Caenorhabditis elegans: one gene and its partners. The protein of the gene in region 4 purifies or fractionates together with the protein of the main gene of each other region. This does not show direct contact. Each region holds a gene or a part of one and is shown on either strand. Other genes may lie near its edges. The genes, in order: C01B10.11, C01G10.10, let-630 and glb-12.

What was found.
Region 1: the proteins of glb-12 (region 4) and C01B10.11 fractionate together in Caenorhabditis elegans (co-fractionation; one large-scale study listed by BioGRID). This does not show direct contact.
Region 2: the proteins of glb-12 (region 4) and C01G10.10 fractionate together in Caenorhabditis elegans (co-fractionation; one large-scale study listed by BioGRID). This does not show direct contact.
Region 3: the proteins of glb-12 (region 4) and let-630 fractionate together in Caenorhabditis elegans (co-fractionation; one large-scale study listed by BioGRID). This does not show direct contact.

What each region holds. Positions count from the first base shown.
Region 1 is NC_003282.8:6,654,449-6,662,725, reverse strand, and holds C01B10.11 (DUF7596 domain-containing protein), read right to left. Parts: upstream 4,746-8,277; 5' UTR 4,729-4,745; coding exon 4,644-4,728; intron 4,274-4,643; coding exon 4,122-4,273; intron 4,013-4,121; exon of another isoform or gene 3,988-4,012; intron 3,944-3,987; coding exon 3,782-3,943; intron 3,734-3,781; coding exon 3,622-3,733; intron 3,153-3,621; coding exon 2,785-3,152; intron 2,518-2,784; coding exon 2,482-2,517; 3' UTR 2,289-2,481; downstream 1-2,288. Other genes in the region: Y73B6A.1 (Protein kinase domain-containing protein), read left to right, coding at 36-394, 770-1,079, 1,324-1,490.
Region 2 is NC_003283.11:15,078,116-15,086,222, forward strand, and holds C01G10.10 (putative tRNA N6-adenosine threonylcarbamoyltransferase, mitochondrial), read right to left. Parts: upstream 4,327-8,107; 5' UTR 4,306-4,326; coding exon 4,214-4,305; intron 4,160-4,213; coding exon 4,036-4,159; intron 3,992-4,035; coding exon 3,843-3,991; intron 3,791-3,842; coding exon 3,627-3,790; intron 3,507-3,626; coding exon 3,220-3,506; intron 2,602-3,219; coding exon 2,475-2,601; intron 2,425-2,474; coding exon 2,310-2,424; intron 2,261-2,309; coding exon 2,053-2,260; 3' UTR 2,019-2,052; downstream 1-2,018. Other genes in the region: UNC-76, read left to right, coding at 237-339, 395-606, 1,503-1,597; C01G10.9 (Methylthioribose-1-phosphate isomerase), read left to right, coding at 4,672-4,786, 4,841-5,135, 5,191-5,488, 5,534-5,926; ahsa-1 (Activator of Hsp90 ATPase AHSA1-like N-terminal domain-containing protein), read right to left, coding at 6,083-6,214, 6,265-7,011, 7,060-7,129, 7,179-7,258; C01G10.7 (Citramalyl-CoA lyase, mitochondrial), read left to right, coding at 7,636-7,842, 7,889-7,993, 8,050-8,107. UniProt on the Caenorhabditis elegans protein: Required for the formation of a threonylcarbamoyl group on adenosine at position 37 (t(6)A37) in mitochondrial tRNAs that read codons beginning with adenine.
Region 3 is NC_003279.8:5,160,172-5,167,992, reverse strand, and holds let-630 (Small ribosomal subunit protein mS39), read left to right. Parts: upstream 1-3,108; 5' UTR 3,109-3,111; coding exon 3,112-3,210; intron 3,211-3,255; coding exon 3,256-3,393; intron 3,394-3,437; coding exon 3,438-4,733; intron 4,734-4,781; coding exon 4,782-4,910; intron 4,911-4,962; coding exon 4,963-5,295; 3' UTR 5,296-5,391; downstream 5,392-7,821. Other genes in the region: Condensin-2 complex subunit hcp-6, read right to left, coding at 1-346, 398-491, 537-1,570, 1,619-1,792, 1,850-2,308, 2,359-2,603, 2,653-2,836; ppw-2 (Piwi domain-containing protein), read left to right, coding at 5,789-5,977, 6,024-6,214, 6,263-6,431, 6,476-6,881, 6,926-7,649, 7,698-7,821.
Region 4 is NC_003280.10:10,727,023-10,734,361, reverse strand, and holds glb-12 (GLOBIN domain-containing protein), read left to right. Parts: upstream 1-2,709; 5' UTR 2,710-2,799; coding exon 2,800-2,838; intron 2,839-2,984; coding exon 2,985-3,251; intron 3,252-3,310; coding exon 3,311-3,396; intron 3,397-3,467; coding exon 3,468-3,567; intron 3,568-4,095; coding exon 4,096-4,323; intron 4,324-4,376; coding exon 4,377-4,457; 3' UTR 4,458-4,558; downstream 4,559-7,339. Other genes in the region: mks-5 (Protein fantom), read right to left, coding at 5,112-5,194, 5,246-5,416, 5,838-6,164, 6,330-6,799, 6,846-6,949, 6,997-7,339.

The DNA of each region.
Region 1 (8,277 bases), on a different chromosome or scaffold from region 4:
GAAGTACTATATTCTAGTATAAGATCATTTTACAGCAAACCTACGACGTGCTCACCTGAATTCTTTGCGTAAAACCACCAGCAGCAAGAGAATCCATTCGTGGGAATCCCTACTCACAGGAAAGGTAGAGAAGCTTGGGCAAGGGAATCATGGCACAATTTTCAAAGTGAGATGGAATGGCAGAAGAGCCGCTATGAAAGTGCTCCATGTGCCGGGCGAAATCTCCGCCGATACTGCCAAAGATGAAATCACAGTCATGAAGAAGGTCGGGTCGGCTGTTTTTCGCAAGAAAAACCCCTCGTTTCTTGAATTTTTGGGAGCCTATTTGGTCGAGGGTCACTCCAAAACTGACCCCAAGCTCCAGTTCAAAAACAAGAACGGCCACCCGCTCCCAGTAAGTCCAATTATAATTTTATTTCAATCACCAGACTCGAAATAAATTAATCAAATATAGGCAGGTCAAAAGTTAGGCACGGCGTTTTTTATTCGTTTTCCGTTTTTTAATGTCAACATCGGGATTCCAACCAATATCAGGCCGCCGACATATTACGGACTCCGAGCGTCACTGTGTTTAATTGCCTGTGGTCGTCGCAAATTGTCCCGCCCGCTGCAAGGAAAATATAGTGCGGAACTCGTAACATGTCGGCGGCCTGATATTGGTTGGGTCCCGATTTTTGCCGCCGTGACTTCCGAAAAAAAAGGCGGGCATGTTTGGACGTACACGCCACGCAGTTTTATTATTTTGAGTGTAGTACAAAATATATTTCAGGAAAAGGCCCAATTCGTGGCGATTTTTATGGAATTGGTTGAAGGAGGAAGATCAATCGGCGATTTCCCATTTAAAACTGATAATGAAAGGAAATCATTCGTTTGTCAATTGGTTGTCGGGCTGATGACTGCACAAAAAGAACTCGGATTTTCACATGGTGATTTGTCCGTGGACAACACCATCGTCACGAAAACGAAGTTGAGGACTGTCGCGTACATCCTGGAAGGAAAAGCAGTCAAACTGAAAACGTCTGGAGTTCTTTTAAAAATTATCGATTATGGCAAAAGTGAATGTAGCTCCGATAATAAAGGTTTGCCTATTTTCAAAGACGGAGAGAAAACTGAACAACTTTTTGTATTAAATTACTGAAAAAAGCTCAACCCGCTAGAGCTCGCTTCTAATAGTAAGCTTCGTATTTTTACCATATATTTTTTTATATTACAAAATTAGAGACAAAATTAAAAAATCAAAAACTAGAAGTTTTTGTTTTCACAAAACCCAACTAGTCACTTTCCTAATTTTCATTCCCTCAACAGTTTAATTTGAAATTACAGCGTCCACCAGCTTTGAAGATTCGGACTACACAAAGCTACGGAACCATGCCATGGATGTTTTTAAAGTTCCCGGATTGAAGGCGCTGGCAGATGCTGTGAACAATTACGATGAGGAACATGCATCATGGTATCCAAACTCGGAGCTTTTCAATGGATTGATTGAATGATATTTTAAATCAATGCTTTATTATTTGCTTTTTTTGAATTTTTTCGAATAAAATATGAGTTTCAGCATTTCCGGCATTTTCCCACTCCACTTCAATTTCGTACACAGAGTTATGTATACTCGTTCTCTCAAGGTTTGGCAAAAAGGTGGGAAAAATTAGACACGAAATGCCGAGTTGTCTACGTCTCTCGTAAGTATATATACTGACAAAAATGAGTCATTTTGGATTAGTTTCTAACTTTAATTTCGTTTCCATTTCTAAATTTGTCATCATATTTTTAGTATAAGTCCTTAATATTTGTAAAATTAAATCACAAAATTTTACACTGCTTTTAATTTATGTTCCCATCATGGTCGGGCGTTTTGTTTTTTCACCAGTTCTTCTTTTGGAATTGGAAGAGAAACCGCTCTACTTTTTACAAAAAAAGGTGCAAAAGTGTCTGTGACTGGAAAAAGTGAAGAAAGACTTCAAGGATCTCATTAAAAATTTATGCAGTTTCAATTGTCCATATAATCTGGTGACGATATTCAATTGCAACCTGTTGGTTGATCTCCTACCAAATAATGGATAAGAGATCAGGCAATAGGTTCAAAAGTGAATAATATTGATTTTTGAGTGACAAAATTAACTTTTCTGTTAATTTTTAAAATATGTTTTTCAATTAGAAAATTTGACTTTTTCACAATGTTGGTAAATTCTGGCAGACATTTCTGAATTGACTCGGTGTGTGATCTCTTACCGTTTTATGGATAAGAGATCAACCATTGAGATCCAAAATTTAGATTTTCAAACCAAAAGTTTCAGGAAGACATTTATTGAAAAAAAAAGGTTTTCAAACATTTTAGTATCGAAACATTTTAGAACGAGGACAGTTAAACTTTGGTAATTCGTGGGATATGTGAGTGGAGGGGGAAGGAGAAAAGGGCGGGTAATTGACAAATACAGATAGAACTTTTAAGAAATTAATGACATTTAGTAGAAAATTGTATAATTAGACAATGTGGACACCCATGTTCAACGCGTAGATCTGAAAATAATAAATATTTTAAAAAATCAAAATTGAAAAATTTCGTTTTTTATTTTTCAAGCTTCAAAAAAATGCAATGATTTTAAAATCAGTTTGAAACTTGCAAAAAACTTGTTCCATATCAAGAATTGAGTAGAATATAAATCAGAAACTGAAATTTTTTCCAAACACTTTTTATTCACTGACAATAAGTATTCATTTTAAAACTAAATTAAAGTACATTTTAAAAAACAAATTTTTCAAGACAAGCCTAAGAAAAAAACTCACTTTAGCCCATTTGATAAGAGATGGCACAGCTCGTGTATGTCTTCTATGTACTGCCCGTTTCTTTGTTGGCTCACATTCCCAAATTCCCTGAACAGTGAATAGAGTCACTTGCTTGGTTTTCGTCTTCTCCACATAGCATTTCAAAAGTGCGTGGGCGATTTCGATAGTTTCAGCATAGATCAAATTGATTCGATCAGCTCCATTTCCAATGATAATTCCATCGACAGAACCGGAAGATTTCGCAAGAAGAATAGTTGAAGATGAAGAGAGGAGAAGAGTTAGATAAGCATCACGTGGAAATCCACAGACTGTCGAGTCAAAGTCGGCGACCGAATCGAAGTCGGTTTTCGTGTATGAGATCATTTTTTCTAGAAAAGGAATAGTTTGAAATCTTGTAATTAAATCAGAAAAATGCCTACCTACGTACCTACAAGGCAGGCACAACTCAACGCCTCAAGGGGTTTGATGGTTTGAAAAATGAACCGCAATGTTTCTATTTATTTTTAACGTATTAAAATTTCATAAAAAAACTTACAATTAGAAAATACTGATTTGATTTTAAACTACCGTTTTTTTCACAATTTTTAACGAATTTACATATTTGGATTTTTAAAAATTCAATTAAAGAAGTCATAGTGAAAAAGAAAAACCAAAAAAGTATAAAAGTAGGTGTGGCCAAATCACTTCGTTCTAACTTTTTTTGTTGAAAAATTGAAGCTCAAATGAAGCTCAAATATTACAGTTTTTTTTTTTTAATTACTTGCTTAAACAAACTAATTAGTTTTTTTTCAATTAAAATTTCCAAGAATAAAGTTTCAGAATATTTTATAGGCTTACGAGTGGAAGGAATAAGAGTTGGAAGCAACTTGGAAACATCATAAGTTCCCTGAATGTACACATTTCTGTCAGTGACAATGAATCCAGCGTCGTCTCTCCATGAATCAGTCAGCTAGAAAAAATTAATAATTTACAACCATTTTAAATAGAAAAAAGTTACCTCAAAAGAGTCAATTGTCACATTTTTCTTAAGATCCAAGTTGTAGGTTCCAAGAGAATGTGTTGAAAGGATATCAGTCAAATGACATTCAGCATGTCTTCCATCTGGAACTGTGTGGAATTGTTGAGCAATTGGAAGAAGGCGACGGTTCTCTTTTACTGTCTGAATATGAAATAAATATTAGAAACATCTTTTAAAAATACATTTCAATCACATGACTTATTGTGCTTATTGCTGAAGAATATATCTCTTTTTATTTAGCAACATGTTGAAACAGCATATTTTTTTAGACTTTTTTTTTATTTAAGAAAAACTAATTTTAAAATTGGAAATATATCACCTCAATTGTGATAAGCTTGAGTTGAAGAGCATCATCTGGTTTCTTCTCAACAATAATATCTTTTCCCAGAATCGTAGAGTCCAACTCCTGAACAACTGCGTAGGCAAGTGATGGTGTGTATTTGATGATTGTCTCACGAGCAAGAGTTTTTCCTGTAAAATTTAAATTTAGTAAGAATAGTGTCAAGATTCTGCTATATAATTGAGATGTTTGTAGCCAATGAGTTTGAACTGTTCAGATTCTAAACCGTTGCTAGTTCTTATTTCAAAAAAAGTTTTTTTTAATTCAAGAATTCGATTAGAAATGTGTTCAATAATCAAAAACTTGGGAAATTATATTTTTAAACACATGTCATCTTATTCAGGAAGTTTTTTTGGTTTTTACTTACTCAAACATTAGTAGATAAATATTTAAACACATTTTTTAATGAAAAATTATCTGAAAAGTTTATGATCACAGTGTTTTCAGTTCAAAGTGTTCTTCTGAAGGTGGCCTTGTTAGAAGGTTAAAACAAGGGCATACCTGATCCGTTCTTGACAAATGCAACACTGGCTTCTGGAAGCTTGGTTGTGTCCAATTTGTTGAGCTGGGCAATTTCAACGGACATTACGAAAGTTAAATAGACTGAAATATTAAGTATTACTAAATTAACTGTATTGAAGAAACAATATTATCACGAAAAAGTGAGTTTAACAAATAGACGATATGAAACATTAAATTTTTTTTACAAGATTCGCACATTGAAGTTTGAAATTCAGGTTTACGTGTACAAAGTACATAATTCGTTGCAATTTCAAATGTGTACACTATCTCCGAATCTACATGGAAAAAGGTGATAAAATGAAAGAAGAAAGTGACAATCTGAAGACAGTGAAGGCAAAGAGATAACCGGATAACATAATAGACATAGGAGGGATATGGGCGGGATCTCGAGAATGTTCTCAAGGTTCCCGATAGAATTGATGAATTGATGAAATTGAAAAGTGAAGAGACTGAATTGGACAAAAGTACGGCAAATTTGGGCGGCATTTTTTGGAATTTGGATGGAAGTAGATAGGCGATAGGTTGGGAGTTCTGGTTGAACTCTTAGAAGTTCATTTCTTGCATTTTTATCATTTATCTTTTATCCAAATCGATGATTCAAATATAATTTTATCTGAGGATTGAAAATCTATTGTGAGAAAATAAATAGACTCATAAAACTGCAGTTTATTAATCGTTTTCACTACTTGCATTAAAAATTGAAGCATTGAAACAGTAAATATTGAAAAAGTTTCCTCAGTTTGAACCACAGTTTTGGATATTTTAATAATTTTAAAACTGTTTTTCATGAATTTTCCGGCCCATTTTAGATCAATATTAGCCTTTTAAAGTGATATCAATCCAAAAATTTTGAAAACAAAATGGTGTGCGATGCCTGAATGTCTGAGTTCCCCGAAGATCCCGTCTTTCTCAAAAGAATTCTTGGAAATAAATGCTTCAATTTTTTAGTTTATAAACGACAGCCAAAAGTCTGGCAATGAAAAGTTGCAAAAAGAAACATATAAAATTCTAGAGATTGCAAAGAAGGTTGCAAAGCATGGGACGGTAAAAATAATTGAGGGAGGTTTTAGGATGGAGGATTAGCCGACCCCCCATAGGGTTTTCATCAAGGTCATTGCGGTAACTTGGGGAAATAATTGAGGGAGTTGAAGATAAAGAATAATGAAAATGTATATAAATTTGTGGGAAGCGGTACTAAATTAAAAAATCTTATTACTCAAATATGTCAAATTTTGTTGAAACAGTGAAAAATATTTTTACTGGATTTTCAATTTTGTTCAAATTTTGGTTAGGTTTTGTAAAAACAAAAGCGTCTTTTACTTTAAAACATTTATTTTCACAAGATTATGACGATTTCCCGGCAATTGTCACATACTTGTTAAATTGAAAACCTTTAGTAAATCTACCAAAATGCAATATAATTGGGTAATTATGTTTGTGAATCAACAATAATTACTTTTTACGGGGAAAAAATACTACAATAAGTTTTCGATTTTATGTCCGAAATAATTACCCTTTTAAGAAAAGTTTACATTTTTGAGTTTGAAATCCAGAATACTGTTTCATCAATTATCCTATGACTATTGAATATGGAGGAATTACTGAAAAGTGTAGCTAATATTTAAGAACTAAAATGCGTGGTAAAAGAAAAACAGGGGGAAATTCAGTTAACCGTTTGAAAAAATGCTCCAAGGTTTGAATTGGCGCGTAAATTCTTGTCCTTCTAGAACCTTAGTTTTTTGCATTCAAACAAGTGGTTTCAGCAGATCTTTTCAATCAATTTATCGAGTTTTCGTTTGAGAAGTTTAAAAACCATCCCACACTCTCAACTTTTTATTTAAATAAAATCTAAAAAACCATGAAAATTCAAAGTTTTCAACAACATATTTTTCTTCAACTTCAATCTGTAAATCCGAACAGTCAAGCCATAAAATCAAAGTTTCATCCTCAAATCACACATATCCTGGCCCTTCCCAATTACTCATTTCTTCCGAACAGAACAGGAAAGATACATAGAACTGAAGAGGAAAGATTTGCCACAATTCTGTCAAATAATGTTTCCATTTTCTCTCATCATCTCTCTGACATAATCAAGTTTATCACTGACAGCGTCATCATGCGCGCGCGCGGGCGGATGGCCAATGCATTATCACTGTTCGTCAGACTCGTGTGTATCCTTGTATCTGTTCTGTACTTGGACATCCATTTGTCTGCATCATTATAAGAATGGCATGAATATTAAGAAAATATTAATGAAAACTGGATTTTTCGAAGATTTCCAGGAGAGAGAGTGACAATAATAATAAAAATTTAAATTAGAAAATACGCATATGTGTACATGGTACAGTAGTTTCAGAATAAAAGTTTACACAACTTTTTCAGCAACAACAAGTGATTGGCTGAAAAAAGTTTTAAAGGCATATTTTCCAAGCGGAAAATTTAAAAAAATTTTATAAATGCTGAAGCTGCAGTAGTGAAAAAATTGAGATGATATTTTTCAGTAAAAAACATTAAAACAGCAATGAAATAGTTTTTAATATAAATAAAAATAATAATCTAATCGTGTTAAATCTAAGGTTTTGTTCAAAGCAAAAAAAAACAATATCCTTTTTTTTGAAAATTGTAGAGGCATTAATCGATTAAGAACGAATTATTTGCAATCTTAATTGCCAACTTCTTGAAACAGCATTTTATTTTTGCTGATGGTAATTTTTTTGAAATTTTGAAAACACCAACAAACCATTAAAATAAAAAAGTTGGAAGAAATGTTTCTAACGTAAAAAAAACAATCGTAATTTTGCTATCTTGTTTAGTAAACTGGTTAGTACCTGAATGATAAAATACGAAACATTCTTCAAATTGGCTGTTGTGAAAAAACAGAAAAAGGGGAGTAAGATAATGAAGAAAATGGCAAATGGGCGGGATCGGTCACTGTTTTAGTAATTAAAATGGACAATGTTTTGATCTATCTCATTAGTTGAAAAATCGAATAATTTTTTGGATTCCAAATTTCCTATACTCTTAGAAATTCCAAAAGTTAAACCATTGAACTTACGATGAGGACGAATGAACTTTTTTTTAAAACATCGATGCAATCATAGATCGGTAAATTGTGTTAAGTGGAGTGAAAAAAGTCAAGTGTTAATTAGAAAAAAAATCAAACGGAAATAGAGTTTGAAATAAGTTGAACGAATTTTAAAGTCTAATTAATTTACAACGGGGCTGCGATTTTTAGAAAAGAACCTAGTGAACAGACGCGCAAATTTCATAATGAAGTCCAATCATATCAATATTGGATTTTTGTACAAATTAATTAATATGCTTTCAAATTAAATCTTCATGTTGAACTCGGGGTGCGCGCCAATCGCCGACAAGCAGATCTGCAGAATGAGCAAGTGTGGCTTGATCTCTCAGTTTTTTTTTTGGAATTTAGTGATAAATATTTAAAAAAGGAAAAAGGTCTTATTTAAGTTGTGACAATCGATCCTGGGCTCAAAAATTGTCTGAGATTTGTTTTTTTTTTTTGATGATTTGTCGGATTTTTTTGTTTGAATTTCCTCTTTGGTTGTACTTATATTTTCCACCGGAAATTTATAGAGTTGACTTGAAAGTG
Region 2 (8,107 bases), on a different chromosome or scaffold from region 4:
GGGAAAATCAATGTAAATCCCGCTGGGAACTACAGTACTTTTTCAGGGCGCAAACATTTTTAAGCCCGTGATGCTTTTCTCGAAAAAACAAGAAATGTATAACTTATTCCAAAAACTAATCCCAAGCAACACCATACTTAACACTCTCACTGACACCCACATTTTTTTCATTTTCAATCGCTCCCTGTTACCCAAAATATATTCAGCACTGCAATTCAACACTCTTTTCATTTCAGATCTTCAAGAGCTCTCCTATTCGAAATTGGTGACACTATGCGCGGAAATGGAGCAGCTGATTCGGGTTTATAATGAGAGTTTGGTCGATGAGCTGGCACATCGGTTGGTTTTCGGGAAATTTTGGAACTAAAACTGGAATTCGGTTTTTTTGTTTCAGAGATGAGCTGGACTACGAAAAAGAGATGAAAAACTCGTTTATTTCACTATTACTGGCGATTCAAAACAAGCGACGAGTTTACGCTAATGATCGGAAACGGAAGGTCGGAAAGGCGTCGGATGCTTCACAATTGCCACAATATTTGACAGCGACAATTCCGTACAACGATCATCAACATATCGATAATGCGTCGATTGCGTCTCTAATCAAAAGTGAGAAGATGAAAAGAGATATAAATAAATATCTAATTGACAAAGAATATCAGCTGTGTGTTGATTGATTAGTGAGAAAAAGAAGAGATATTTGCATAAGAGATACAGAATTTTAATATGTTTTTCTCGGGATTATGTCCCCTTGTTAGAAGTGGAATAGGGTCGGTGGGGATTTTTAAAGGATTTTCCATGAAAATCAAGACTTTTTTTTCGGTTTTTCGTTTCTCCGATTTTTCGAAAAACAAAAATAGCCCCCAATTTAGCTAATTTTTCATATTTTTAAAAGAAAATTATATGTTTTTCCTCATCACCATAAAAAAAAATTGATTTTAAAAATTGAATTTTATTCTTAATTTTCGAATTTTTTTTCTCGATTTTTTGTACCTGAAATTAATCGAAAAAATTTTTAATTTCGCGAATTTGCGTCAAAAATATTGTACAAAAAATACTGTCTCGAGACGAAAATTGTTGTTAAATGCGAAAAGGTGAGGATTACTGTAGTTTCAAACATTTTAATCGCGATTGTTTAAAGTTGTTCTCAAGATTTTGCTAAATTGTTTTATTTATATAGTTATGGAGTAAAAAAAAAAGATGAAAAATCGAAAAAACCTGAAGCTACAGTAATCTTTAAAGGCGCACGCCTGTTTGTATTTAACAAAAATTGTCGTGCCGAGACCTGGTACCGTATAATTGTGCTAATTTCGCGTCTGGGTAATATTGCAAAATGGAAATTGAGAAACCGGAAAATTTTAAAATAAATTCTCTCTCAATATCCCTTTGAAAAACCGGAAAAAAGTTATAAACAAATTTAAACAAAATCTGCTAACTTTTTGCCAAAATTTCTCAAAAATTGAACAAAAAGTCATTGAAAATTGAAAATAAATGGTTTTTTTCAGTTCTCCGCGCAATCCACGATGACAATACGACAGTACCCACCCTGCTGACAGACTACATTTTAACACATGTCTGTCCAAAAAATATATCGTGTTAGCCATTGCCACCCTTCGCCATTCCATACTAGTCATTTTCCCCCATCTACTTGTTCTTCTTCTTCTTTCTATTCTACAATTTAAAAGTTTTCCGTTCTGTTTTTGAAAATTGTGTGATACAGCTTTAAAAAAAAATAGTCCAAAAAAAATCGTATTCTCTCTCTCCACAGCTGCTTTCCAAAAAACCCCCTTCTCTTTCCTTTCCATGTTAATTCAAAAAGCTTCTTGACTCTCTGAAAACCCAATGAATGACACAAATTCTAGTTGTGCCCCCCTCCCAATTGCACCTGCCAACAAAAAGTCCATACTCAAATTCTCTACAATCCCGGAATCTCTCTCTCTCTCTACTGATGATCATTAATGTTTTTGCTTGTGCTTCTTTTCTTGTTCTTATTTCGTTTTTTTCTACAAACACAGTCATATAAAATTATGTGCATTTTTTATTAGAAAATTTTCTTCATTCAGTTGTTTTAGGGCTTTTAGGCTTCTTAAAATCATCCAGATTCCGGAATCGTATCCGCTCGGTGCCATGGATCGTGGATGTCACCAGTTTCCGACGCGGTGTATCAATGATTTCCGAAGAAGCATCCGTCCCAATATCGCTTCTAGCGTGTGCATAAATTGTGTCAGGAATGTCATTCGGTCGCCACCAAATTGCCTCCGATCTGCAAGAATTCGAATAGTTAATTATAGAGTTGGTGGGGGCTAAAGGACCGATTGACGAGCATCAGAAGGCCACTGTAGGCGATCATTTCGGCATTGTCTGTGCAAAGGGACAAGAGGACTTTGATGGTTGTGACATTGTGAGCAGCTGATAGTTTTGAGATTGCTGAAATATTAAAGTTTTAGCTTTTTCTGATACTTCTATTAAAAAAAAACCTCCAAAAATGTACTGATTCGCCGCCACTCCGCCGCCGATCACCAGCTGTTTTGGAAGTTTTTCCTGCTCGGAGAGACTTTCGAAGAAGATGTGAAGTTTGCTCGAGATATGTCGGGCTACGGTGTTCTGAAATAATTTTTTATAGAAAAAAAAACGTTCGTCGAAACTGTCGAAACTCCTAATAAATGCTCTAATAATGTCGATTTAGGAAAAGTAAGAGTTATTTTTGAAACAAATAATTTAACCGTTTTTTTTTTAACCAGAATTTGGATTTTTTTAATTAAAAAAAAAGGATTTTTTGATTTATTTTTAAGAAAAATCTTTTTTTTTTGGTTTTTTGAAAATATGAGATTTTTGGTTCGTTTTATTGCAAAAACGATTTTTTGGAAACATCGATTTTCCGTTTTTTTAGATAAATTATTTTTTTCGGATTTATTTTTTGAAACACTAATTTTTTGAGATTCTCTGATAGTTTTAGTGAAAAAATTACAGAGACAGAAATTATAGAAAATAACTCAAAAAACATTGAAAAGTATTCAAAAGGCTTGAACAATGATTTTAAAAAATCGAAAAAAAGTTTTTTTTTCAATTTTTTATAGGCTTTAATTTTTTGATTTTTTTGGTGGTTTCTGTATAATTTAAAGATTTTTTTCTGATAGAAAACTGCATTTTAGAATAAGTTTTTTTTTTTTTGGAAAAAGCGTCAAAAACAATTTCGAAGTCTCTTCTTGGTTCTTCACACACCTGAAGGCTAGCACAAAAATCTGGAATATCAATTGATGTTTCAGAGTTTTTTCTCAATCTTTCCAGCAAATTCAGATAGGATCCTTTGATTTGATCGAAGTTCATATTAGCTTTTGGAACGTTTGGAAGAAATATGGGATATCTCAAATGGCCATCAGCAGAGGCTCTAGAGGCTAGAATTTCCACCGCAGCGCCCACATGAATCCCATCGAATTCTGATCCAAGATCTCCAAGCTGCCGCGCAACTTTGTCAATGCACTCGCCCGGGCTTCCACTGACACTTTGGCCTGAAAATTTTGAAAAATTTATAGTATTTTATGTTTTGAGAGAAGTTTAAAAATAAAATTTCGTGCCATGTAGCGACAATGAGTAATAAGTTTTTTTTTCAAATATTTCAATCCTCATACCGTACAATTTGAATTTCTCGACATCTTCTGCAACAGAAATCAATGCATGACCACCCGAAAGAAGAACTGCTGAAAATGGAAATCGCACTGAATCATCGACGAGAAGAATTGACAGAGCATGGGCTCTCATATGATGAACTGGAATCAGTGGAAGACGATGTTTTCTGAACAGGAAAAATCAATATTCGAAAATTTTAAATATTCATAGTATCATACTTTGCAAATCCAATCGCCGCTGAAATTCCCTCTTTAAGTGCAATAACTAATCCAGGCGTTACTGTAACCGCTACTGCATCCAGATCTTTCGGTGATGTTCCAGCGTCGTTCAGACACTTTTCTATAAGCCTTGGAAGGTTCTCACGGTGCTGGAAATATTTCATTTCAAGTAAATTCTGAAGAAGAATCCTACTTGAAGTGCGCAGACTGAAGGATTAATCCCGCCTTGTTGTCTCTGAATCGCCCGTTCTGTGTACCGCTCTGAAGATAAAATCTCTCGTTTCTCGTTGACAATTGCTACTGCAGTATCGTCACAACTGAAAATTTAATGATTTTAATTTTTTGAACTCTATTGCTTATATATTCCTTACCTTGTTTCAATTCCTAGCACTTTAACGGAGTAATTTCGACAAAAAATTCGCTTTAAAACTAAATTGTTGTTCAGAATTTTCGGAATATTCATTTTAGATGGAGAAATTGAATAAAAAACCTTAATAAAAAATATTCTCTGCAATTGTCTAGGAGGAGTACACGGTTGTCGGATTCTAGGCCGCATGCGCAGAAGTTAGGCCATTCGGCGTTAAAACCGTAACCACGAAGAAGATTTAAATAAATCTCATCAATAAATTGACTTGAGAATATAGCAATGAAACATTGACAATATTTCCATAAATAAATACATCCTCTTCCACAACTTTTCGACTTGTGCTCACGTTTTGCTCACTTCCAGTCTACACTTTCGCTTATCTTATCATCTGGAAAACGCTGCACAGACAATTTGCGCTCTGCAATTCATTTAGCTCTAGGTATCTGCTGCTATTTTACGACAATGACCTCAAAAATCAATAAAATTGTAAACGGGCCTATTCCTGATTCATTTTTATTCGACGAGTCGAAAAGATTGGATTCTCTGAAGTTTGATGGAACCAATTTGGAAGTCCTTGGTAAGTTCAGAAATATCATCTTATAAAGCATAGTTCTAGTAAAATAAAATCCAGATCAACTCCTACTTCCACATGAATTCAAGTACATCCCGGTTGAAGGTGTCTCTGACGCTTTTGCAGTTATAAAATCAATGCAAGTACGCGGAGCTCCACTTATTGCAGTTGTCGGAAGTCTCGGACTGCTCCTGGAAATCCAAAAGGCTTCTGAGCTTGATTCTGAAAGTATTATTCAGAAAATTAATTTTTTGATAAGCTCAAGACCAACTGCAGTTGATTTGAGAAATTCTTTGAACGGCTTGAAACCAATTTTAGAGTCTCAAGACTATTCGGATGTGGTTAAGCTTGAGAAGTGAGTTTTAAATTTCAAAAATAATTCCAAATAATCGCAATTAATTCTCCAACAGATGCCGCAGTTATCTTCTCAACGTGTATACGGATGAAAAGCTTCAAAATAGAATTCTCGTCTGGAACGCTTATCAAGAGCTTCTCTCGGCATTCCCTGACAAGGAGAAGCTTACGGTAATGACGATCTGCAACACAGGAAGCTTGGCTACAATATCCTGGGGTACTGCTCTCGGAGTCATTCGGGCTCTTCATTCTGAAAACCGTCTGAAATTGGTTTACGTTTTGGAGACGAGACCCTATAATCAAGGAATTAGGTTGACTTCCATAGAGCTTCTTCATGGTGAGGTGCCGTTCAAGGTAATGCTAAATACTGATTATCTTTTAAAAATCCAGATTTTCTAGCTGATCACTGATTCAATGGCAGCATGGGCAATGAAGAATCACCAGGTGGATTGTGTGCTCACCGGAGCCGATAATGTTGCAAGAAACGGCGATACGGCTAACAAAATCGGAACCTATATGCTTGCTGTCCTCTGCAAACATCACAACATCAACTTCTATCCGGTTGTTCCATTCACGACGATCAATAAGAATATTGCAACCGGGGAGGAGATTAAAATTGAAGAACGACCATCTGCAGAGATGCTTCGAGTAAATGGAGTTTTAATCGGAAATTCTGAATGTCCGGTTTGGAATCCAGCATTTGATGTCACGCCGGCGCATCTCATCACGAAAATTTTGACGGATTTCGGAAACTGGCCGCCTGAAATGCTCGAGCAGCAGATTCCTAAATAATTTTGTTTGTTTTTGAACAGAATCTGTTGAATTTATGAAAATATTATCACTAAATTTAGAACACAAACACAGATTGATATAAAATAAATAAATTGAGAAAGCGGTTTAGAAGATCGGAGAACATCAAAAACAGGAGATTTGCAATTTTTCATTTTTTCACATTCGCTGGCTGAATCCGAAAGTACGACCAATGCTTGAAAGGTAGTAACGATCGAGTCCTTGTTGAGTTTCTTCAGCGAGATGAGTTGGAACATCTTTAGCGATGATTTTGATATCCGTTCCAGATCCCTAGAATTTATTATAATAGAAGGTTTATCCTCGTTTGTTCTAAAACTTACAGTATCTTTCAACTGGAAATGGATGGTTGCATGATGATTGTTTGGATACTTTTTCAGTCGCCATTTCTTCACAATCTCCTTGTTCGGCTCAATCTTCTCGAATGTTCCAGTCACGTTTTCCCCGAACAATGCAAATGATCCTCCTTCCTTGAAATTCCACTCTCCGATCGAATTGTTTGTCCATCCACGAACGAATTGAGTCTCTGTGAGCGCCTCGAAAACTCTATCCGGTGTGGCCTTGTAGGTATCGGAAGTTGAAACCTCTTTGGTGGAGAACACTTCATTTCCAGAAGTGGAAGCGTCCTTTTCCGCGACAACAGTGTTTTGGAACTGACGTTTGTCAACGACTGAAGTCTTTCCAGTAGTAACGACTTGTGGCTTCACTTTATCAGTTGGCAGAATGAGACCCTTGCTGAATTCTTCCTTCAATTCACGGATATAGATTCCCATAACATCTTGAATCTTTGCAATGAACGATTTGTTAAGAACTTGGCGGATTTGATGAGCCATTGGGCCATTTCCACTCAATGACGAATTCACATCCACTTCGGATGCATCGTTCTCATCACTCAAGTTTGGGATATCGAAAGTTCCTTTATATTCGTCTTCACTGCCAGAAACACGAGCAATGAATGTTCCTTCGATAACCCATTCAAAAAGGAAGATGAGCTTAGCCTTCCGGTTGTTTGCCGTTGCTTCTCCGTCGATCTTTTTGATCTCATCGATTGTCACGACAATTGGGCCATCCTGAAAACGAATACTCTTAATACGATCTTGTTCAACTATTAATTATACCTCGGACGAAAATCCGGTGAGAAGTTCACGGAGTCGGTTCAAAGACCACGGGGTTGCATTCTTCTCCGACCTAAAACATACTTATTCAGCTCAAAGCTATGACTTCAATCGAGACCCACCAATGCCAATTGTTTACGTTTGTTGCATCGGCTCGTTCTTCAACAATCCAGCGTGGATCTCCTTCTCCCCACTTGGCCATTTAAATTCCCTGAAATTAATTTAAGTCAGTTTATCGAGATTTTTAAGGTGAACATCAAGCCAGATTAAGTCGTTTTGTACTTAAAACAATGGAATTTCAATTTAAAACTTGAAAATAAATATTTAACGTTGAAATCAAAACAAGAAATCTTTGAAATTTCGTTGAAAACAGGAGAAACTCAATTAATTTCGAGAAAATTCATGAAAAATGGAAGAAACTAGGCCAGCAGGCCACGACCGCTTATCAATAGGGCGAGCTTGCATTGCAATTTTTGTGTGGATTTACGCACGTAATTGGTTATTTATTTTTGTTTTTTTTTTTCAGATTTTACGTTACACATTTTTTTAAAATAAATTAATTTTTTCAATTTCAGAAAAATGCTTCCTAAAACGATAATTAGGCACATCTCACAGTTTGCCGGAGTTCGGGACGCAGCAAAGTATGTTCCAAGACGTGCACTTCTATACGTTCCAGCCAGCAATCAAAAAATGCTGGATAAAGTTCCAATGATGCAAGCGGATTCAGTAGTTTTGGAGCTAGAAGATGGCGTTGCTCTGACGGCTAAAGCTGATGCTAGAGTTCGAGTACGTGAAAAGTAATTGGAAATTTGTCTACAATTTGAGTTTTCAGGCTGCGGCGGCTCTTGATAAACTGCCATATCACACATTGGCATGCCAGGAGCTTGGTCTACGTGTCAATTCTGTAAGCAGTGGTCTTCTCGAAGATGATATCATTGTAAGATTTATTTTTGAATTTTTCAAACTTTATCCTCACGAATTTTTTAATTTCAGGCAGTATCGAAAGCTGAAAAGTTGCCACAAGCATTTATGATTCCGAAAGTAGACTGCC
Region 3 (7,821 bases), on a different chromosome or scaffold from region 4:
CATCGATTTTCTTGATATTGTTCTCAATGACGTGGATCATGTATTGCACGAGATTTGATTCTCGAGACAAGTCAACTCTGCTGAACGTCTCAATCGCAAAATCAACGTTCTGTTCAAACTGAACACACAACTGCGAGAACACCATCCATGCGCCATCCAGTTTCTCACTGCCACTAATAATGTGCTGCTTCATCGAATCCATTACTGTGCGCTTGACGAGTTTTTCACGAACTGCATCTTTCAATGTGCTCATGAGGTATTGACGGTGATTGGTGACAGATTCAATTGTATCTAACAGCGTCCATGTGAGATCCGATGAGTTTTCGAGTAAGGGAGTGAGAACTTTCTGGAAATTGGAAACAAATTAAGCTTCTATTATAAATAATTAAGCCCATACCATAATCAACTTTCTGGCATGTTCAGTGACGTCATTATCTGTATCATTCAGCATCGAGATCAAGGTGTGAAGCCATTTTGAACTGAGACTTTCTCTGAAAATAAAATTTGTTTTAAATTTCGTCAAAGATTACAATTACTTGAAAAGGATTGCATCTCGTAACATAAGTTCTGTAAACGCATCGGCTCCAGTTTTTCTGACTGAAACCATTCTGTCTCGACATAACATTTGAAGAATTGAAAGCACAACTTCAAATTTCGATGCTTCGTCGCAATATGATAGATATGATTTGAGAAGCGAGCACGCAGCCTTCTTGACCGGAGCCTTGTCGTCAGTTGATAGTCGGCGCACGATCATATAAACTATATCCTTTTCAACGCGTGTCTCTCCCTTGTTCATCAGTTTCAACTTATTGAACTTTTGAATGATTTGCTGCTCGTCGAGAAGTAGATCCGTTGGCTTTTTTGTTTTACTACTTGGTGCTTTACCAGAAACATTTAAATCTTCAAGACTTTCACTCAGGTTGTCGCCCACTGCGCCGAACTTTTCATCCATTTCCGCATTTATTGTTGCGCAGAACAATTGGAAAGCTTCTCGATGCGATTGAGACTGAAGGATTTTCGTCAAACTATTGGCTCCGTGAAGTCGCATAGCTGCAGCTTTATCCAAACAAGCCATGTAAACGATGTTATACAGAACAGACATTGCATCCATTCGACCAACTTCTTTAACTTCCTTCGCCTTCTTTTCTTTCTTCTTCTCTTCTTTCTTTTTAGAAACATTCTCCTCGTTATCGCCATCATTCTCTTCGTCTGATTTATCCGACTGTTCTTCCTCTTTGACTGCAACATCATCCTGCTCGTTTTCTTCCTCCTCTTCTTCATCTTCCCCTTCCTCCTCCTCATCCTCTTCTTCATTCTGCTCTGCGTCCAAGTTTGGAATAGCTCCTGGGTCAGGTGCGGTGAAGTCAAAACTGCTGATGAGAATACTCGAGAGCTCTGTAGACAAGGATTTTACTCCGGCTCCGCGGCCTTTGAACAAGACATTCATGAACTGGACAAAATCATAGGTATATGTGTATGGAAGAGCTTCGAGAATCTTGTGGATAAACGTGGCGATATTTGTTCGAAACTCGGCTAGATCTGGACATTGTGAATACACCATCACAGTAACCTAAAATTTAAAAATAAGTTAATAAAATATTTCGAAGAAACTGCTCACTGTCTGAATATACTTCAACTCTCTTGCTTCGGGATTTCTTGAAATTCGTGATAGAATTAAATTGACATGTAATTCACCAGATCTCTTTCTCTCCGTTGAAATCTTTGAAGATTTATTGCTTTCATCTGGATATGGCATCAGCGCAAGGCGAGGGCGAATAAGTCTTCCGTAAGCCTAAATTTGTACTAACCTTATTAATTTGTTTTGTAATTTTTTTAATTTTAATCCCACCACTTCTGCTCTTGTTTTATACTTGCTTTCTACTAAAGAATGCACAAATGCACAGTATCGATCCGTAAATCGCTCCAACGATCGGAACTCGTGGACTGAATTCGCTCGAATCGCTCTTCCTGCGGTTCGATTGTCAAGATCTAAACGGCCGATGTCTTCCACGACTTCTAGTGTGCTCATGAGTGTTGGTGTATCAATACTGAAGGTGTTGCTATGCAGAAAAGCAAATAACTGGGTTGTGAGATGATGCAGGTATCGCTCAGCCGAATCGACAGCAATTCGAGGGGGACCAATTATAGGATCTGCTGCTCCCGTTGTTACAGTCATTTCTCCATCCACATTTGTTTCGTCTGACTTTCCACCCGCTTTCTTTTTCTTTGCTCCACTTGATTTTTTTGTAACGACAGTCTCTCCTATCCTAACTGTATGACAACAGTTTCGAATAATTTTCAGACATTGCTGAAAAAATAACATTGATTATATGACATGTAATAAACCCGTATACTTACATTGTATAAACCAATTTGATAAAGATCTGAGATTGCTCCAGGCAATGAGCACATAGCAATATAACTACTGGCAGCAGAAACTCCTTTATCAACATCCTCTTCCGAACTGTCAGATCTCTGTCCGTTTTCGAGAAAATACCAGACGAATAGATTAAACTTCATTGTCGCCACATCACTTTCTTCAAAAATATTCCGAATATCGCATTTCTTTCCCGAGATTACAACGCTTTCGGCAAGTTTCTTTACTGAAAATAACAATTTTGAATAGTGAAGCTAACAAAATTCTCAACATACGCTCTTTCAGAACTCCACTCAGATCTTGCTCGAAAAAAGTCAGGTCAACAGAATTTGTGAATTCTTCATAATCTTCATAATTGCATTCTGCTGAAGAAGTTGCAACGGCATCGTCAATATCGTTGAGAGACCGGAGATTTGACTCAAGAAACTCCGATAAATCTTTTTCGTTGATATTCGACATTGAATCTAAAATAAAAAATGAATCATTTCAATAAGGGTAATTTAAAACGTTAAAAATAAATATTTAGGAAAAAAAATTAGGATCTCTGTTTGAATTTACCGCGTTGAGATTTTTAGGCCACGGCCATTGTGTTTCTAGGCCATGGTGCAAACACGGCGCGCAATACTGCGGACAAAACATTTTAACACCCGATTTTTTTTTTTGGTTCTTACTTAGGCTTTTTACGTTTTGAGTGTTTTTCATCTTTCTTTGCTTAACTTAATATTTTTTAGGCAATGATCGGCCGCATGGGACTTGGCAGAGTTATAACTCGCAGTTTATCGTCGGTTGAGCCTGCATTATCTCAAAAATTGACAATACAGCCAGCAATCGAGGTTGACTATTTTTAAAAATTCATACTTGAACTTCTATATTTCCAGAGATCTCCAACAGATTTGTTAAATGCCTTGTCAGAAACCGTTGGCCCGGACACAACTGCTCCACATTTTGCCTACATTGACGATCCAATTACCATTCCTTCCACGCAGTCAACGAAAAAGACCTATTTTATGGCGAAGGTAAAATTTTTGCCGGAATATTAGAATAAGTTTGATAATTTTAGGAGTTTGGCAAAAGAGCTGCACGAGAACTAGCTACAGAATGGCCAACCCTCTTCGCTTTTGACAGAGATCAACCTCAGCTCCCGGTTTTCCGTCCTCGACATCTAGCAGATCCCCTTCAAGTTGAACCGACAGAGAATAACCTGCTTAAAATGATTTCAAGTCGAGAAGTAAAAGACTCGTGTATTTTGTATGAACGCATGCGATCAGAGAACGTTGACGTTAGCGAGAAAGTCCAGCTGGAACTATTCCGTCTTGTAACCTATTACAATTCGTCAAACGTACCTTTCGCAGAATGGGAGGAGTTTGTTGGAATGCGCAATTTTGGAGAAGATTCTACATCCTCATGGAAATCGGGTGCAGTCGCTGATCTTCTTTTCGAAACTCTCCCAAAAACTGATGAAACCGTTTCTATAATGATTGCTGGTCTATGCAAGTTTTCTGATCATTCTAGTTTGGAAAGAGCTAGAGAATTGTACAAGGAGCATCGAGCTGCAAAAGGAAAAGTTTACCGAGAAGCGTTCAATGGATTAATTGGCGCTTCAAGCTACAGTGTCGGGAAGAAATTGGTAGCTGAAATGATTTCCCTCAGAATGACACCCGATATTTTCACGTTCAATGCATTACTGTCGTCTGCTGCAAAAGCTGGAAAGTTTGAAGATCGTGTGAAGGCGTTCACTGAAATTATTGGAGAAATGAAAGAGATTGGAGTTGAACCAGCACTGTCATCTTTTCATTTAATTATCAAAAACATCATAGATTTTAAATTATTGGATAATGAAAAACGAGAGAGTGACGAGCAAAAGAAGACCTATAATCACCAGCTCACCGTGGCTATATCTTGGCTCAATGAAATTCAGAATAGCCTTACTGGAAAAACTCTCAAGCCGATTACATCCACTTGTAATCTTTTCTTCGTCGAAGCAATGGGAATCCATTACAGAGCTGCAAATGAGAACCTCGCAGAAAATCTTGTTTCAATTTATGAATCCAAAGCAAACGAAGTAAAGATGCCAGCATTCACAATTGAATCAATGTTCTATAATAGACAATTACAATTGGCTGTGGAACAAAGTGCTTCACTGAACAGAATTTATGATTTGTACACCACCATGGTACCACGACTTGTTGGAGTCAACAATTATCTGTCATCACTAGTTTTTCGAAAACTCGCTGCATCCTCCGATCGTCATTGGCCACTGTTACGGAGAGTAATCATCGACGGTATTGCAGCTGGACAGATGAATGGAGTTATTGGAGAAGAAATGCGCAAACAGTTGTGTAATGTACAACTACATGTAAGTTTTATTTCCAAATATCTTGTGTTTTTTACAAGTTTTTTTCAGACATTGGGAACTAGTGAACGGGAGCAATTCACATCTCTTGTCCAAAAATTGGTTGCAGTTTGGGTTGAGTTCAGCCAATTCACAGAAGAGAGAATGAGAAGGCTCCAAAGGAAACTGTCGCCTAGCCAGGTTTTAATATTATTTTTCAAACCATAAGTCGTATATTTCTCAAATTTTGCAGATCTCAGAATGTGCTTTGCTCTTGACCAGAATCGGAGAACAGCAGAAAGCTTACGAACTGTTAGATCTACTGCTTGATGAAACTGCAAGCAGTGGGGACGAAGCGACTGTTTATCCACGTGGACATGCTAGGCCATGGGCAATGGCAGAATTGTTCGAAGATGCTCTTAGAAAACGTGATACATATGCTGCAGCGACTTGCCTGCAAATTATGTCGTTGACCGCCAACCGTGCAAAACTTGAGCCTCTCGCCAATCGCATTTTCGAGAAATGTAATGTGAATCAAGAGCAAGTTCGAATTATTCAAGGATTCATTCGTCTTCGCCCACAATAATTTTATTTCGTTTAGCCTAGGATAGTTGTAAAGTTATTTTGTTTTTGTTTTGTTTTGCTTTCAAAATGTCTCCCATAATAAAACTTATTTAAAAATTTGTTCAACATGTTTTTTTTTCAAAGGTCGTTCAATTTGAAATTAAAGGCGCATCGAGTTTTCATCTGAGTGGGTCTCGCAACGCTGTCTAAGGTATACGGTAGCTATTCGCACTACTTCAAAAAATGTTACCTACTGTCCCAAAATATTCATTTCCGTGCACGATTTTTCAGTATTTCTTGTTGAAATCTTCATATTTTTCAAGTATCTAACAAAAACGTGTTTCAATAGTTCTTTTTTCAAGTTATAAGTTATAAGATTTAGAGAATGCATGTATCCCGAAAAGTTGCATAAACTTATTCAATTTTTTTCCAACACGTTATTCGTAAATTTTAAGATATTGTTCATAATGCAATCGTTCTCCGATTTCAGGTAGTATTCACTAACAACATTCACAATGCCTGCTACACCGGTTCCACCGGTAACAATGCCACCAGTGCCACCAGTTGGTTTTCCACCGGTCACCGCTCCGCCAGGACTTCATCCACCACCACCAGTCCCACCGGTTCCGGTTCCGACTCTTCCTGTCACCTCGGAACACAAAACTGCTCACGATGCGTGTATTAAGCGACTCGAACAGCTTGAGGTGAGATCGGTTCTCGTTATTGCTTAGAATAAATATGATATTTTAGATTCCGCCGGATCCGAAGATCTATCCTTCTCCAACCGAACCTGGAACTTTCGGTAGCGTGACTGAAGTCCTGACAAATGTGTTTGGAGTCGAAGTACATAAAACTTCCAACTTTTATCAATACAGTGTGCACATCACTGCTGAACTTTCATCGAAGAAAGAAGTAACTTTCACTAAAAAAGGAAAAGAAGAGTAAGATATTGATGATCGAATTCAAATTTCCTATGCATTCAATTTCAGCTTCATTGTTCATGACCGCCATGAGAAGTGCAGTGCTATTCTGTTCCACGCATTGAACCGCTTTGAGGACTTTTTCAAGTCGTCTGAGAACTGCATCATCTACGATGGACAGAGCATTCTCTTCACCAGCATGAATCTTTTTGAAGGAATTCCAACTGGAAAAATTAAGGTATCGAGATTTTATTTGTACTTTCGATGCATTCCTAATTTCAGACAAAAGTGTTTCAAATTAACGGTGCGGACACCAACTTGAAAGACCTAATGGTGCTGCCGTGTATCAAACTGGAAGTTTTTCCTACCAAGAACCCAGTCGTGAATTTCTCCCTGGAAGATATTGGAAGACGTACATCGGATTCTAACATCGAGTCTGTCAATATGGCTTATAAGCAGATTCTCGATCTCGCTATGAGTCAGTACGCAATTCGCGAAACCTCCAAATGTGTAGTGTTCGAGCACGGAAAGATGTTTTTCATTAATCCATTGCAAGAAGGGTACGCTCCATGCGACATTGTGGAAGTTGGAGATGGGAAACAAATGAAACCGGGTCTCAAGAAAACCCTCCAATTCATTGAGGGTCCATACGGACGTAACCAGAATAACCCATCGATTGTCATTGACGGTTAGTTTTTAGCTCAAAATAGACAAGTATATTTCAATCTTCAGGAATGAAGGTGGCATTCCATATGGAGCAACTCGTTTTCCAAAAATTGTCATCGATCACATCCAATCTGGCTAACGGAATCACTGGATCCGAAAGAGAACGATGTGCAGCTGTCATCAAAGGACTTGACTGTCATTCAAACTATAGAGGACGCACACGTCATCACAAAATTGAAAGCATTCATCACGAAGGAGCCGCAACTGCCAGATTCGAGCTCGAAGGTGGTGGTACTTGTACCGTTGCCACCTACTTCAAGGATAAATATAAGATTCAACTTCGCTATCCGAACGCCAATCTCATCGTTTGTAAGGAAAGAGGAGCTCTCAACTTCTATCCCATGGAGTTGATTACTATCAGTCCAAATCAACGTGTTAGAATCACTCAGCAAACAAGTTCTCAAAGTCAACGAACCACAAAAGAAAGTGCAGTGTTGCCAGACATTCGCCAACGTTTGATCATGACGGGAAAGATTGCAGCGAAGATCACAGCTGAAAACGAGGTGCTCGGTAAAATGGGAGTGACTGTTTGCGATGAGCCTCTTGTGGTGAAAGGGCGAAACCTCCCGGCCATTAGGTTGGCTTCATTTGAAACGGGTGAACATCTCATCAATCCAAGAGATTGCAAATGGCGCCCACAACGCTACAACCGTTCAGCTGTGGCTCCGAAAGTATGGGCGTTGTACGGCGTGGGGTCGCCGGGATCACAAATGAATCGCGACGTTATGAGGTTAGTCTTACTCTACTTAAAATTGATTGGTTTTTTCTGATTTTTCAGACGTTTTTGTGACGAGTTCATGAATATGAGTCGTTCGAAAGGAATTCTGTTTCCGCCACCTGGAGACGTCAATCTTCTCACCCCTGATGCTATCGAAAATCGTTTGCGTGAGGCTGCGAATGCT
Region 4 (7,339 bases):
ACTCTCAATTGAAAAATATAATGCAATTTCGTTTTATTAATTACACTCACGGGAAGGTACTAAAACTTTAGTGACAATACTTTCTGTCAACTCAATTTCCAGACTCCAGACACCTACGGTTTCCGGGTAAATTCCGATGGAAATGAATGCTTCCTCTCTTATTTTTCTGAGTAATAACAAGAGTATCAAAACTTTGCATACTTGAATTGTAATACTAATGTGAATCACAGCTTAATCGGAAATCTCTGAGGAACCGTCTAGTAAGGACTTCTGATTCAAAATTCAGTGTATTCTGAAACTAATATTCAAGTTGTAATGCTTGGCTAGGTAGTGTTTATAGGTAGTGTTTATTATAGTGATCCTAAAGAGTTTTGTTTTTAATACTTAGAAACATTTTGAAGTTCAACGGCTATTGGACAAGGGCCGGCGGCAATTGCCGTTTGGTAAATTTGTTTGTTGACAAATTAGGCAAATCGACAAATTGCCGGTTTGTCGACTTGCCGGAAATTTTAATTCTTGCCAATTTGCCGATTTGCCGGAAAAAATCGTTTGCCGCGTTTCTAATCGTTTCTACAGTAACCTTACTGAAACCCAGTAGTATAAAAGCCTGGTTTTCCAAGCAGGTACATAAACTTTCATTACCTGAAAACCCACCCCCCCCCCCCCCAACTCCAGAAAGAACCAAGATCACTTTTCCTTCCTACCTACACACTCACTTCTCCCTTATTACATTTCACCATTCCTTATATATTTTCTACCGAAAATGGCGAGTAAGGAGAAAATGTGATTTATAATTATTATTCGGGTCGAGAGCTCTTGCTCGCGAGCAGTAGCTGCCTGCTACCTAACACAACACACTCATTTCCATGTTTTTTTCACCACTTTTTCACGTTTTGTTAAGGTTTCTGTTATATCAGAAGGAACAGGTTTTAATTAGGTGTAACCTAGAGGAAAATTTTTGAGTTTCAAGTAAGATTATGCCTATTTTTCTTCCATACTTGTTTCAATTCTCGTTTTCAAAAAATCAACAAAAAAAATTCCTGGAAAATTAAATATTTCTCTTTTTTTTTCTTTTTCAATTTTTCTTGGAAGTCAGAACTTTTGGAATTTGGAGAGCGGCAAGCAAAGTGAAAACAATCAAATTTCTGATCAAAAACTATAGCAAAACTATCTAGTTGAGCATGAGAATTGATTATTTTCTGCAATGCGGGTGCTTGAATTTGAAAGATTGAATTGTTTTCTATACAAATTTCAGACTATTTTTGTTCATGAAATCTGCAGTTTTAATATTTCCGATTTTTACAAATTAACTGGAAATTTCTGAAAATATTCATGCTTCAATTTTTAGATATTTTCAGATATTCTGGGTGTCAAAATGGACATAGTATTCGTGTATAACATGTTCTCAGCTTTTAAAAAATATAAATTTCAACCCAAAAATCGCAATTTCATTTTTTCTCCATTTTTTTGGAGGCAAACGTCCACTTTGGTTTTTGAGAGCGGAGAACGATTTTGGAGATTAACCAACATTTCTGATAAATTCTTTAAAAATTCAATTGTGGACTTAAAATACCGTGGTTTAACAAAATTTGAAGTGAAAATGTTTAAAAAAATTAAATGGGCAAAAATCAAAAATTTGAGAAAATAACCAGAAACTAGGAAGCCGGTAGACCATGAATTGCTACTGCCGTTTATAAATCTGCCCCACCAGCAAACTATGTTCCAAAATAACTTGAATTCAAACTCCACAAATTTTGTCCCGTTCCAGAAATCTTTGATCCACTGAACTTTTACGTGCACCTGTTACACTTTTCCCGCCGGATCTTGAGTTCAAGCTTCTAACAAGTAATAAAACAGCCTACGTATAAATACATTTATAACATTAACATTCGAAAAACCAATAGTTCACCTACTTCCTTCTCTTCCCTTATTATTTCTTGTCAGAACTCTCTACTATAATTTCGCAGTTTTTTGTCACTTTGTTTATCCCACTTCTTCGTATTTTTCCCTCTTCTGCCTTCTTCTCACTTTTTTAAAGCAATCATTTGGTTATATTCATACTTTCTATAAGTTTTTGGGAAGAAGAACACTGATTTTTGATATGCGTCTTTTCTTTCGGAAAAGATCCCCGAGAAAACTCAAGTCTAGTCTCAGATTTTGACAAATTTAAGTGTTAAGCTGACAAGGAAAAGTTTCGATTTTTTTAAATGTTTCATCGAAAATTAGGATTTTCAAAAAAGCTCATTTTAATAGGTCCCCACAAAAATTATACTGCTTGGAAGCATTTTAAACAAGGCAAATTAGATTTAAAAGATTTCTCAAAATCTACAGTTTTTTATTATGCTTTGGGTCATAGGAAAAGTTTGAGATCTTTTCAAAACAAAATTATTAACCCTAAAAAATCTAATTTTTTCCACAATGAATATGGCTAAATTTTCAGTTAGGATTTATTTGATTTCCAAGATCTAACTGGCCATTTCCACAATTTAAGCCAAAATTCAAATTAGTTTTCAGCCTTGTGAACGCGAATTTATGTTGCTCTGTTCCCCGTCATCCCATAAAAAATCAGCCGTCTTCCGTTTTATGACTACTTCAACACACAAAAAATCCAATCATCATTCCATTGCCACGTCATAATTGAGGCTTATTCAATTTGTCTTCTTCATGTTTACTCACTCCTTCTCCTTTTTCAGAGTCTTTCAATTTCAAATTTTCAGAACATTTCCTGATTGAGGTGATGAGAAGTTGTGCTTAAGATTTTTAATAAAACAAGTATCGTTATAAATCTATATATTTTCAATGGGTGCCACATTATGTGCACCGAAAAAGAAAAAAACCGTGAGTTTTGAGCTTGATTCGGAAGATGAACATTTCTCAAAAATTTTTGGATTTTTTACATTCTTTTCAAAAAAACAGTACATAAGAATAGAGAACTACAGTACTCTTTAAAGACGCACAGAACATTTTAAAAAATTATTTTCCAGCAAGTCGGAGCATCTTGGGTCGGAAACGAATCTGAAAATCCATTTGACTTAGCCCTCAATAAAAAAGACCGTACTCTGTTACGTGAAACTTGGCAAAGGCTAGATGATCCGAAGGATATTGTTGGTCTTATATTCTTAGATATTGTCAATGATATTGAACCGGACCTCAAGAAAGTGTTTGGCGTGGATCGGGCTCCGCGAGCCGCGATGCTGAAAATGCCGAAATTCGGAGGGCATATTCTAAGATTCTATGAGTTCATGGAGCAGGTTAGCTGTCTAAACTACATTTTTAAGAGTATTTTTTGAACTCAAATTTATTATTCCAGCTCACGTCAATGCTTGGCACGTCTGAAAATCTGACGGGTGCATGGCAATTGGTACGAAAAACGGGAAGAAGTCATGTCAGACAAGGGTAAGTGCGCAGGTGCAAATGCCGTCACTTTGTATGATTATATAGTCCAATGCCATTTGATGATTTTTCAGTTTCTTGGAACAAAATCAGAACCAGATGGAGAAGAACTATTTCGAAATTGTTATAAATGTATTTATCGAGCGATTAATTCCATTTCTGACGGGTGAACAGGTGAGATTGTGGGATCAGTTAGGTCAAGCTAGTTTGAAAGTTCAACTAATTGATTTGTTGGAAGGTTTATTTGGAGTACAACTCAATCAAATTATTTTCTAATAAAGGAATTAATTGAGCTTGATTTCTGAAAAAATCTATATAATTCGAAAAAGAAATTTTGCGGTCGAGAAGCATTTTGAAAATTTTCCCGAACGTAGATTAGGATGTTTGTGAGCGAGGAAATTACTTGAGCTGTTTTCAAAAAAATGTTTGTTTTTCTTTTTAAAAAAGGTGCAATTTTTGATCCAGTTGGGCAAAATAGTTGCGGGTTTTTTCAAAAAATTAGAATAATATTTTCAAATAAGTATTTTTAAATGTTACTTCAGATCGGATTTTTTAGTTCTTTGTGATCCTCTTCCTATAAATTCTTGTAGATACCTATTCGAAATAAGATTGTTTAAATTAAATTGGTTTTTTTTTCTAAAAAAGTTCATAATCTCCCCTCGTAAAACAAAAAACCTTTTCACCCAACAAATATGATTTTAGGAGCTTCCATCATCAGAAGGAAAAGAGAACAAAAAAGTGCGATTTGCTCAAAACTACACCACATCTCAAATCACAGACGTCTGGAAGAAGTTCTTAAACACAGTAATTAGTCAAATGACTGACTCATTTGAATTGGAAAGAGCAAAACAGAAGAGTGCACAAACAACAAAAGCCTTGGCTCCACATCAACATATCGAGATTTCGGAAAGGAAGAAGAAGAGGGTGGCGGTATGTTATTAGTTGATATCATACATTTGTTAATTTGATATTGGCATTTTCAGGAAAAACAAAGCGAGATTGAAAATACGGCAGTTTCAAATGAACCAAAAGCTCAAGAGCAAATGTTCGAAGATCCATTCTGAAAGTATATTTTTATAGTGATATACCATATAAAACATATTGACACTGAAAAAACACTGATAAATAAAACTGATTAAATTTATTGAATAAATGATTTTTTTTTGATTTTGTAGCACATTTAATGCACAAAAATGAGCTAAGCTTTTTTTGCTATTGCGTCACACAAAGACATGCAATTTTGGAGACAAAATAGCATTGCTGAATTAGGTTTAGATACATTTTTATGTGAATTGAAAGTCAGAGCCAATTACGTTATAGGCCGATTATTTTTCGAGTTTATGTATATGAGGTTTTATCCTCTTGAGGATCTATTCCATTTCGGTAAGAGGATTCAAAAAAAGTCAACTAACAAATCACTAAAAATTCAAAATACATTTTTCCGTCGGCAACATTTTAAAATCGTAATTATTTTGCCAAGATATGATAGTTACCTAAGCGTTTTTTGTGCTGTAAGTAGGACGTCAAGTTTGAAAATGCAAATTTCATTTTTCACCAATTTTTCAAACGATGTTAAAAAAGAGTATAGAATATTGCTTAGTTTGCTCTCCAGCAACCACAATTCACGATACTGAACAAGTTTTTTTTTAACCAAAATATTTATTAATTTGTTGAAAATATAATCTAACAAATTATTTAAACCGTATTTTTCAATTTTCTCAGGTCAATTGTTCAATTAATGCTCTTGAGAAATGCAATGTCAATGTCATCTCGGCTTGCACAATTCCACTCCGATCGTAAACTGAATTTGAATTCAATTATAAGAATGAGATACTTACGACAAATGACTAACCATCAATTACAAACGATTTGTTCTGTGTGTTGTTTGGCACTAAAATCAAACTTCCGAAGCCGAGCTCCTCTTCGTCGCCTGGACTGATCTTGATGATGGTTAACTCAAATTTGATGCTAGCACGGATCCATTGATCGAGAAGAGAAAGTTGACCACGCGTCAGGGTGTATTCTGAATAATTGAGATTATCGGGGTTAACTTTAGAGAGTGGCATTTAAGTTATTTTCTAAACGTACTTCAAAAAAAAAACCAAACATTTTAGAAGAATTTTTGAATTTTATTTTTTCATCCTCTGAATCGCCACATTTCAATGAACATTAAAAAAATTAATAATGTTTCAGTCAAGCTCTGAGATATGAGCTCTTGAAGTTGAGCTCTTGATGCACCATGTTCAAAAACTAGGTCCTCCAACTTTAGACGTTCATATCTCAAAAAATTGTCACAAAAATGTAAGTGCTAAAATATTTAAAATTGAATGTTCTATATTTCTGCTTAAAGAATTGTTTCAATACCTTTGAATTGAACTGGGGCCATAGATATCAAGCAGATAAGTATTTTATACTTCCCATAAAAAATCTCAAAAAACTAATACCTTTTGTATATCGAATATCCACCATTTCTTGTGGTCTTCTCGGAAAATCAAATATCGTACTCTTCGACTGCTCATTCGTAAAATCCAAAAATACCCAATCAACGAAAAACGTCGTCTCTTCTCTTGTCAATGGAGTCAGACTTGATCCGGGAACAAGTTCAAATGTTTCCAATTGTATTGAAACTTTCATATTCGGTTCCAGTACATCTTTGTCGGTTGGTGACAACGGTTTTCGCACTTTGATCAAACTATGCCCTTCATAATCCGGCAGTGGAACAGGTGCTTTTTCGGCGCGACGTGGTGATGAAGTTGACGAGGATTCAGATGCTGAAATTCAAAAATAGGGATGTGGAAAAGAAATTTCTATTCGAGGGTTTGCGGCTTCTATTTAATATGCAGTAATAAAATAACTAGAATTCGACTTTGAACACGTTATAACATTTGTGTCAAAACATGAAAAGCTATAAAAATTATTTGAAATCATCAACTCACGTGGAACTGAAAAATGCAACGGATCTGTGAATAAAATTCTTCCTGTTGAACCTTGTTGCCTGGTAGCTTCTGGTTGCTCAGTCAACGCAATTGGTCCAACCGGTATATTCCTGGGTTTTGCAATTGGAGGGAGAGCTCCAAGAAGGCTCTTGAGCTCTTCGGTTTTTAACTCTCTTTTTCTATCTTCCTCGGTTTCAGCTACCTCGTTAGGCTCTGATTCCACCACCGGCTCTGGTTCTGGCCCTGATTCTGGTTCTAACTCTGGATCTACAGGTGCCACGTCATCCGTCTTATCAACAGATCGTTGTGTCACTGGTGTAGACTCCTTACTCTCGTTAGTACCATTTGGTTTCAAGGGGTCTGATGGTCTTGGTGTATCCTCCGGAGAAGGAAGGTTTTCTACTTGTCGCTCTGGAACTTCTAGAGGCTCGGGATCTCTCTGGGATGATACTGCTGACACCGACTCTATTCTGAAATTAAAAAAATGCTTTAATAACTATATTAATTAAAAATTACTCGTCATCATCATCATCGAATACAATTCTATCAGCTTCTTCTTCTCCATCGGAATCAACAAGCGCAGGTGTAACTGCGGGTATCTCGTAGTCGTAGGTTTGGGGCTAAAATAGAAATGTGGCTTCAAATAAATGCTGATAAATATTCTTACATTTGTTGGAGGGCTAAACAGATCTTTTGAGCTATGAGAGAATGATGTATCTGATGAATCTGTTGACAACCTTCTGAGCGGTGCAGTTGTGGGCTCTGGAGCTTTTGGAGGCATGGAAGTTGGCTCAGCATCATGAAGTTCAGCTTCTTTAACAGGCGTCACCACAAACTCTTTGGATGTTCGCCTGACCGGTTGAGGAAGGATCGGAGTATCCTTAACTTCTTTCAGTGGTTCTTTTGGTTCATGTTTCAAGAAGAATGATGGGATTTCGTGTTTCCAAATTAGACAAAGATCCAGCGATACAGAGCTTGGTCTCCCATCGGTGTCAAGCATTGGGAATGTT